2 linked regions of the Arabidopsis thaliana genome follow. The protein of the gene in region 2 interacts with the protein of the main gene of each other region in a pairwise test. Each region holds a gene or a part of one and is shown on either strand. Other genes may lie near its edges.

Region 1 (3,473 bases), 600 kb from region 2:
CGGCTATTTGCGATAGAGTCGCCGACGTCAAGAGGTTCACGAGTAATGCGCTCGCTCTCGTTAATACCTACGCCAACAATGGAGCCTAACTAACTAAGCTAGGTCTTGAAATTCCTAAAGTTATAAAAACACTTGTATATATATATGTGTTAAGTTGTGTGCTTAGTTTATAATGTGTATTCGAGGCTTTGAAACCGAGTTAGAACTCTGAGTTTGGGTGTTCAAATTATACATTAATCTATGTTTGATTGTATTAATATTAATATATGTCATATGTGTTTATATGGTGTGTGCTATATGAGTAATGAAGATAATTATACATGGTTTTGATGAGTAAATTTGATACATGAACCTGGTTTTTTTTTTTTTTTTTTTTTCTTTGATGAATTTGGATATGATATGGATGAATTTTGGCCATCATGTCTAAGGGGAACTGAAACCCGTGAGATGATTAGAACATCTGACTATGACCCCAAAGTTTGTCTATTAGTGGCCCACTCTAAAATCTTTACGAAAACAAGGTTTTGTCCTTTTTGTTCACGGGGATGCCAAAAAGCTTCCATACTCTGTTCACAGTTTCTATTTCAATCCCTATTGATAATGATTACACACATTCGCTTCACAGATTTTTCTAATTGAATTCCCTTTGAAATTTTCAACTCCCGCGCTGATTCCACAGTGATTCTTTCTTCTGCTAACTGTAGCATAATTAAATTAGTGACAATAATGAATGTTTAGCATTACCAATTACATAGTTTTCCCCTCATTATTAAGTGTGAAAATGAAATCAAAGCAGCAATAATTGTTCAACAAGAGAACAAAGTTTCACATAACACAATGCAGTAATAATAATAATACACAGTCGCTAATGTTATATCTTATCTCAGGACTAAGCAACAACACACACACAAATTCTAAAGTTTACAATCCAAATACTGAAAGAAATCCAAATAAATCTAATTAAGCTAAATTAAAGCACTCTCTTACTCTCTAAGAGATTCCATTTTTCAGTAACTAAAGATTCCGAAATTGCATAAGTACCGATTAATTCAGCACCCAACCGGAGCAACCACCGTCGGCTTCACCTTCGGAGGTCTCCCACGTCCCCTACGCTCACCTGTCGCCTGAGCTGCCGGTTCCGGCGCAGCAACCGTCTCCGAATCTGTTCTCGGTCTCTTCGGTGGTCGTCCTCGTGGCCTTCCAGATCCGGTAATGACCTTCTCCTGGGGAGGCTCCGATGGATCTTTCGGCTTCGGTGGACGGCCACGAGATCTAGGCGGATCTGTAGAGACGACGGTGGCAGCAACAACAGCAGCAGCAGCGGCGTCAGATTCGGCCTGAGTCTTCTGCTTCGGAGGACGGCCACGACCACGCTTAGGAGGAGCATCTGGATCTGGTTTCATATAATTGTTCTTCACCATGATTAGCTGACCGGTTTTCTTCATCTGGTTGAGATGGTAGCTGAGCAGCGTCATGTGTGACGGCGGTAGAGTTTGTTGAGTCGACTCGATGTGCTTAGCAATCGTCGTTTTGTTGCAGCCGTTCTTATCGTTCAAGGACTCAATCGCTTCCATTATCATCTAAACACAAATTTCAACCAAAATTTCAGAAACTAAATTGAGAGAGATTGAGAGATTTTAGGGGTGTACTTCACCTGAGGATAAGGTGGGAGAGAAAACGACGGAAGTTCTGATGAATGCGTATCTGAAGCTGAGCCATGGTGGAGATCGAAGGCCATGTCAAGCGTAGAGAGTGTGTGAGGTGATGAAGGAAGGAATCTGTGTGAGGAGGGATTTTAAAAAGCAATTTGGGAAAGTGGTTTTCTCATTATTCTCATATTAACTTGTAGTGTTGATCTGACGGTTGGGGTTTTCAAACTTACGGGTTGATCCAACGGCTCTGAGTTTATAGCAGCTTTCTCGAGCAGGATTACTGACGTGGACATATGGGAATGACTTCTGCTGACTATTACCCTTAAATTACCTAATTCTCCTCCAATCTTCCTTTTTTATTCAACGAATGGCCATTGGTTCAGCCTAGCTGGATTACTAGAACAGAAAACGACATACTACGTAGCGTTTTTGCTAATCATATTTCAAATTATTTTGTTAATGTAACACAATGAGTTATATATATCTTTCATTTTTTTTCCACCAATGAAAATTCATTTATATAATCAATCCCGAGGAGTCTTTCTCTATTAGCAGAACAAGATTTGCAAGACTAGAAGATGATGTGATTTTATTACTACTCACAAACAATAGAATCATATGAGACAAATAAAGCATTTTGAGAAATATACGAAGATGGGATCACAAGAAGCCCGTGCTGCCGAAGGGGTTGTTGCTGTTATGTTGCTCATGAGCACCTGCGTTTACCGGGAACTCCCCAAAACCCGTGGTGTTTTGCGGTTCTGAAACCGGGACTACTGGAAATTCCCCCAAACCGGTGGTCTTTGACGGTTCTGATACCGGGATTACTGGTAATGCCCCAAACCCAGTGGTGTTTTGTGGTGCTGAAACCGACACTACTGGAAATTCCCCAAAACCGGTGGTGTTTGATGGTTCTGAAGCCGGGGTTACTGGTAATGCCCCAAACCCAGTGATGTTTTGTGGTTCTGAAACCGGCACCACTGGAAATTCCCCAAACGCGGTGGTGTTTGGCGGTTCTGTAACCGGGACTACTGGAATCTCCCCAAAGCCGGTGGTGTTTGACGGCTCTGAAACCGGTACTGGAAATGCCCCAAAACTGGTGGTGCTTTGTGGTTCTGAAACCGGAACTATTGGAAACTCCCCAAAATCACCAAAAGGATTTGCAGGGCTGGGTGCAACCTGTAGCTGTGGCTGCTGCTCTTGTTGATGATAGGTTGGCTCATAGAGACCGAATGGGTTGTTTACGGCTGAAGGCGGTGAAACACTGTCTGAAAATGCAAACAGGTCTTGGACCTCAAACGGATTGGAAGCTGGGACGCCATAGGCAGGCTGTTGGGCTGCTCTCAAGGCTCCATCGTCATATAGACTGTTCAGGGTGAGCGTGTCTAATCCACCCGCCTTGCATTTGTTGCAGAAAAAAATGTTAATGATTCAGAAGCCACAAAATCAATTCCCCAGAGGTGACATACGTTAACAGGACAATGGTACGTAATTGATGCATCCCATTATCACTAATACAAGAATACATCTTACCAGCTGTCTCTCTGTGGCTGCAGATATATCATTGCTAGGTGTTGTGACCAACGCAAGCTCCCATCCTGACGGATCCAAATCTCTTGCTTGCCCAAAACTAAACGGCGAAGAATCAACTGGAAACAGAAACATAACCAGAATTGCGACTAAAGACAAGCAAGAAAGGCAAACTTAGAGCTCCAGTACATAGACCAAGAAGCTCACCATCATTGGAAACTAAGGCCAAAGCTAGTGCATTTTGGTCCAGGATTGCTAACGGATCAGGTGTATCATCATGCAGACCCTGTG
Region 2 (4,252 bases):
ATTTTTTCTAGTACATTTATTTATTTTCTTTCTTTCTAGTCTTTGGTATCAACAAGTCTAATAATTTTCACTAAAGCTACTGCTGTGTTACTATTTGAACACAACTTGAATTATGTGTGGATGTGTGTTATAGACAAAAGTATACGTAAAATTGCGTGGGCATTTTTAATTGTATAATAGGATTTTATGCTATAATGGAATAATGTTATAGTCCACCGAATTGTATCGAAAGAAAGTGCATATGAACGGAACATTCATTAGATCAATGGTCAATATATTCCTTTATGTAGGTACATAGTAATGTATGCGGCAGGTGTACTATTATCATCATATGTTCAAACTCTAACGCATATACTATATACCATTTCGTAAGAGATTAACAGAGTTTTAATGTTATTCGTTTTAACCATCAAATTCCTTCGAAATAAATAGCTATATATACCTAAGTTTGTAGAGAATCTGAAGATACTCATAGTCGCAGCCAGCGAAAGAAAGAAAACTAAAACACTTTTAGAAACAAATATCTAGATTGAGTTAAGCCGAAAAAGTAGTAGATAGAATTATAAATACATATATATTATTTAACAGCAACATGAATCTCTCTACCAACACAATAATTTCTGAAGCTTAAAATAATATCTTGCAAAAGCTTAAATAGCATTCATTTTAAAATATCTTTCTCTTTGGTTATTTGTATCGGAGTATGGTCTATCATATCATCATACGATTATATACGTTTACAGACCCTGCAAACTTTTTCTCTTTTGGTTGGAGTTATTTTATAAAATTACGTACGCATAAGTCATAACTCCTCAAATCTATATACAAAAAGCAGCAAATACCATAAGCAGTAGCTAATGCATACATATAAATACGAGTTCCCATACACATAAAATGAAAAGAAACCAAGGTAAGATTTGGTAACAACATTTTCATCATCTCATGCTAATAAAACTCTTGAGACATATCTAAGTAACCCTTTTTAAAATTTATCCTATAAATAAAATTTACAGTTCATCAATACAACAAAAACAACTCATGAACCTTTGGTAAACAAGAAGAAAGAAACCGATGCAAATAAAGAAAACGAAAATGGAGTTTTTAAAAATTATTAAAACAACAAAAGAAAAAAAAAAGAAGAAGAGTTGTTACGAGGCGTGAAAGATGCGTTGCTTCTTGCTACACACCAACGATAACATCTCAGTATCGTTCACTCTTTTGTTTCCTACGACGTCGTTTCTTGAACTCTCCGGTGAAATGTTAACTCCGAACAATCTCAAAACCCGACCCGCATCTAAATCTGACCCGGATCTCGACTTCCACCCAATGTACAACTGTTGATCCTGACCGTTAGATCTACTGAAACTAACCACGTCACCAGCACGTAGATTCTTCTCCTTAACGAACCTGCTCCAACCTTTAGTCAAAACATAACTCTGACTACTGTTCCAATACGAGTAACGGAACCTCCACACTTTCCCGTTAACGTCCTCAAAGTTCAACAACACTCCTTTCACGGAAACGTTACTTGACGGTAACGGAAAATGTTTCTCTGCGTGATGTTTCGGTATAACCAAACGGTTTAGCTTCCCAACGTCGCTTGGCGTTACCGCTTTCTCAAACAGTGCCTCCGCCGATCTAAACCCCGTCGTAGAAACACCATCATTACTCAACCCCGACGTTAACAACGTCCTAGTCATGTTTCCGTTACCATTACGACGCCGTTTACTCTGCTCTAACTCTTCGTTATAAGTATGTTTCCTCAACATATCAACGATCTCAGATTTCGAATGAGAATTCAAGAAATCGACCTCGTCTTCGTCCATCTTCACGTCTTTGAAATTTGTGACGGCGTCACGGCGACGGAACCTGTGAACCGCGACGTCGTAGGCACGAGCGGCTTCGTCTTCTTCGTTGAATGTCCCGAGCCACACGCGCTGGTGTTTCTCGTAAATCTGAGCTCCCCATCTTCCGTTTGGTTGTGGCACCACACCTTTGTATTTTGACGACGGAAGCTTCCTAGATTCAGCTTCTACGCCGTTCTCTGAATCTAACACAACGCTTGATCCGCTTCCCATCCTGTATAAGTTACCTACCGACGACTTTTTCGCCGGAGTTATCGCCGGGGTTTCACAGATGGAACCTGTACTTGTAGTACTCTCATCAACGCTACTCGATTCCATTTAATCTGTGTTTTTTTTTATGGTTTGAAACAATGGAGAAAACAGAAATGTGTTTGTGTTGTGTTGTGAATTATGTTGTGTATATGTATACGTGTGTGTGTATAATATATATAGAAAGAAGGAGAAAGAGCTTGGGGGGAGGGAAATAAGAAACAGCAAGTGTCACTTCTGATATTATTATTTTATGTTTCACTTTTTATTTGGTAATAACAAAAAATATATTTGTAAGAATGCGTGTTTGAGGGGAGTAATTATAGTATATGTGCAGGTGCATGGGAAGTAAGATGGGTGTGTATGGGTCAACTCAAAGAACACAAAGGAAGCTTCGTGGAAACATAATGAAATATACGGCATTTAATTTAGGTTACTATATTAGGGTCTATTTCATGAACTGTTGATGTAACTTATAGAAGAAAACACACGAAGCAATAATAATCCTTATAATAAGTTAGTATTTTATTTATGTAAGAAAAAGAGAAAAGAGAGTATAGGAACAAATATAGAAATGAATATGTTGTGGGCTGTGTGCATGGGGAAGTGGGACCCATGTGTGGGCCATGGAATGGATAAAGGGTCCACGTGAGATATTGACATCATTTTAGTGAAGTTCATCCCCCCTGAGTTTTGATGCTTAAAATTTTAATTCACTATAATACTATAGTAACGATAATAACTATATGAAAAATAATAAAATAGAAAGTATTAGATTTGATAACCATGTTCAGATCCTACCGATGTTAAATGGTGTCTCTCTTTAAATTTTTTTCTCTTCCAAATCTGATTGTTATTCTTCACTCTTGAATGATATTATTATTGAAAAAGCTATAAATAGTTGTTTAGTCATGAACTCATGATATATATCTTCTTTATTTTCCATTTCCAGGTTTTTATTCTTCTTTCTATAATCTTATCCTACGTTTCTTTTTATAGAAAAAATGTGTATTGCTATGAGGATTATTGTCCGTATAATATATGCACTCGATAGATTCCAATTCCAAATTCATAAAAAATCTCTCTTTTGTTGTTCTTGTAATTATCCCATTTTATTATATATATATATATATATTTGGTATCAACATTTTATTATATTTGTTTCTCATAAGTGGGTGTATGTAATGTAAAAAGATTTTAAATATGTCTTATATATTTATAAGAAATACTTAGCCAACGAGCGACCGACATCATAACAAGTATTTCTACTGGTCAATAGAAATCCAATTAAATCAGTTGCCTTCAGTGTGTGTGTTTTACTCTTATAGAGAATAAATACGTAAGGATTTAACGCCATAAATTGTTTGCATTATATAATATGGTTTGAGGACAATTAACAAGTGATGTGGATAGCTTACGATCTTATCTGATATATTTGTTGCTTTGCAAAAGTATTCTTCTACCCATTAGTTAGGTTTCATTTTTTATGCAAAGAGCCAATTAGAGAACTGCGAAATATCGTGAGATTCGACTTTTATTGGCTCTCCCTGCTCCAATAGAAAATGTTAACGATTTATATCTCCTTTTTATATCTATTAATTGATTTGCCGGTTTCTATTTGAATTCTTGTAATTATTTATTATAGTATTTATTATCAATTTGATCCACTAGGATGGGAAGTGGGCCAATGACAAATCACTAAGAGGCATGGTCGTACGTGTCTTGTGTGGATGAATAATAATATGGGCATTTCTTGACAGCAGGACAATTACTTTTGTCTTTTTTCGTTTTTTTCTTTTTAAGTTAAAGAGGCATTGCTCAAAATACCTAGGCGCTAATTAGTGTTAGGATTTTTTTGTTTCTTAAGTTTTACCACACATTTTCATCAAAATATATATAAGTAAATTGGCATTTAAGCCCATATGAAAGAAATAAGTGCTGATCAACTTTAATTGATTTTGTTAAAATCAGTGTGGTAGAAAGTAGTGACTGTGTAGATTTATAGACAACACAATAATTAGATAATCACACTCTAATCAAATTTTCAAATTTAAAATCGTATTTTTATGTTTTAAAAAAACTTAAAATGGTTCTAAGTATATCATATATGGGTGGGTATGCGACAAAAAGAAATAGAT

Evidence for each region. The genes of interacting proteins can lie anywhere in the genome.
Region 1: the proteins of RAV1 (region 2) and HMGA interact in a two-hybrid assay, tested with the Arabidopsis thaliana proteins (one large-scale study listed by BioGRID).

Annotation. Positions count from the first base shown.
Region 1 is NC_003070.9:5,137,616-5,141,088, forward strand, and holds HMGA (high mobility group A), read right to left. Parts: upstream 1,853-3,473; 5' UTR 1,739-1,852; coding exon 1,655-1,738; intron 1,581-1,654; coding exon 1,050-1,580; 3' UTR 501-1,049; downstream 1-500. Other genes in the region: AT1G14890 (Plant invertase/pectin methylesterase inhibitor superfamily protein), read left to right, coding at 1-89; AT1G14910 (ENTH/ANTH/VHS superfamily protein), read right to left, coding at 2,313-3,050, 3,186-3,301, 3,390-3,468. UniProt on the Arabidopsis thaliana protein: Binds A/T-rich DNA with a highly dynamic distribution into the nucleus.
Region 2 is NC_003070.9:4,540,317-4,544,568, reverse strand, and holds RAV1 (uncharacterized protein), read right to left. Parts: upstream 2,402-4,252; 5' UTR 2,184-2,401; coding exon 1,149-2,183; 3' UTR 599-1,148; downstream 1-598. UniProt on the Arabidopsis thaliana protein: Binds specifically to bipartite recognition sequences composed of two unrelated motifs, 5'-CAACA-3' and 5'-CACCTG-3'. May function as negative regulator of plant growth and development.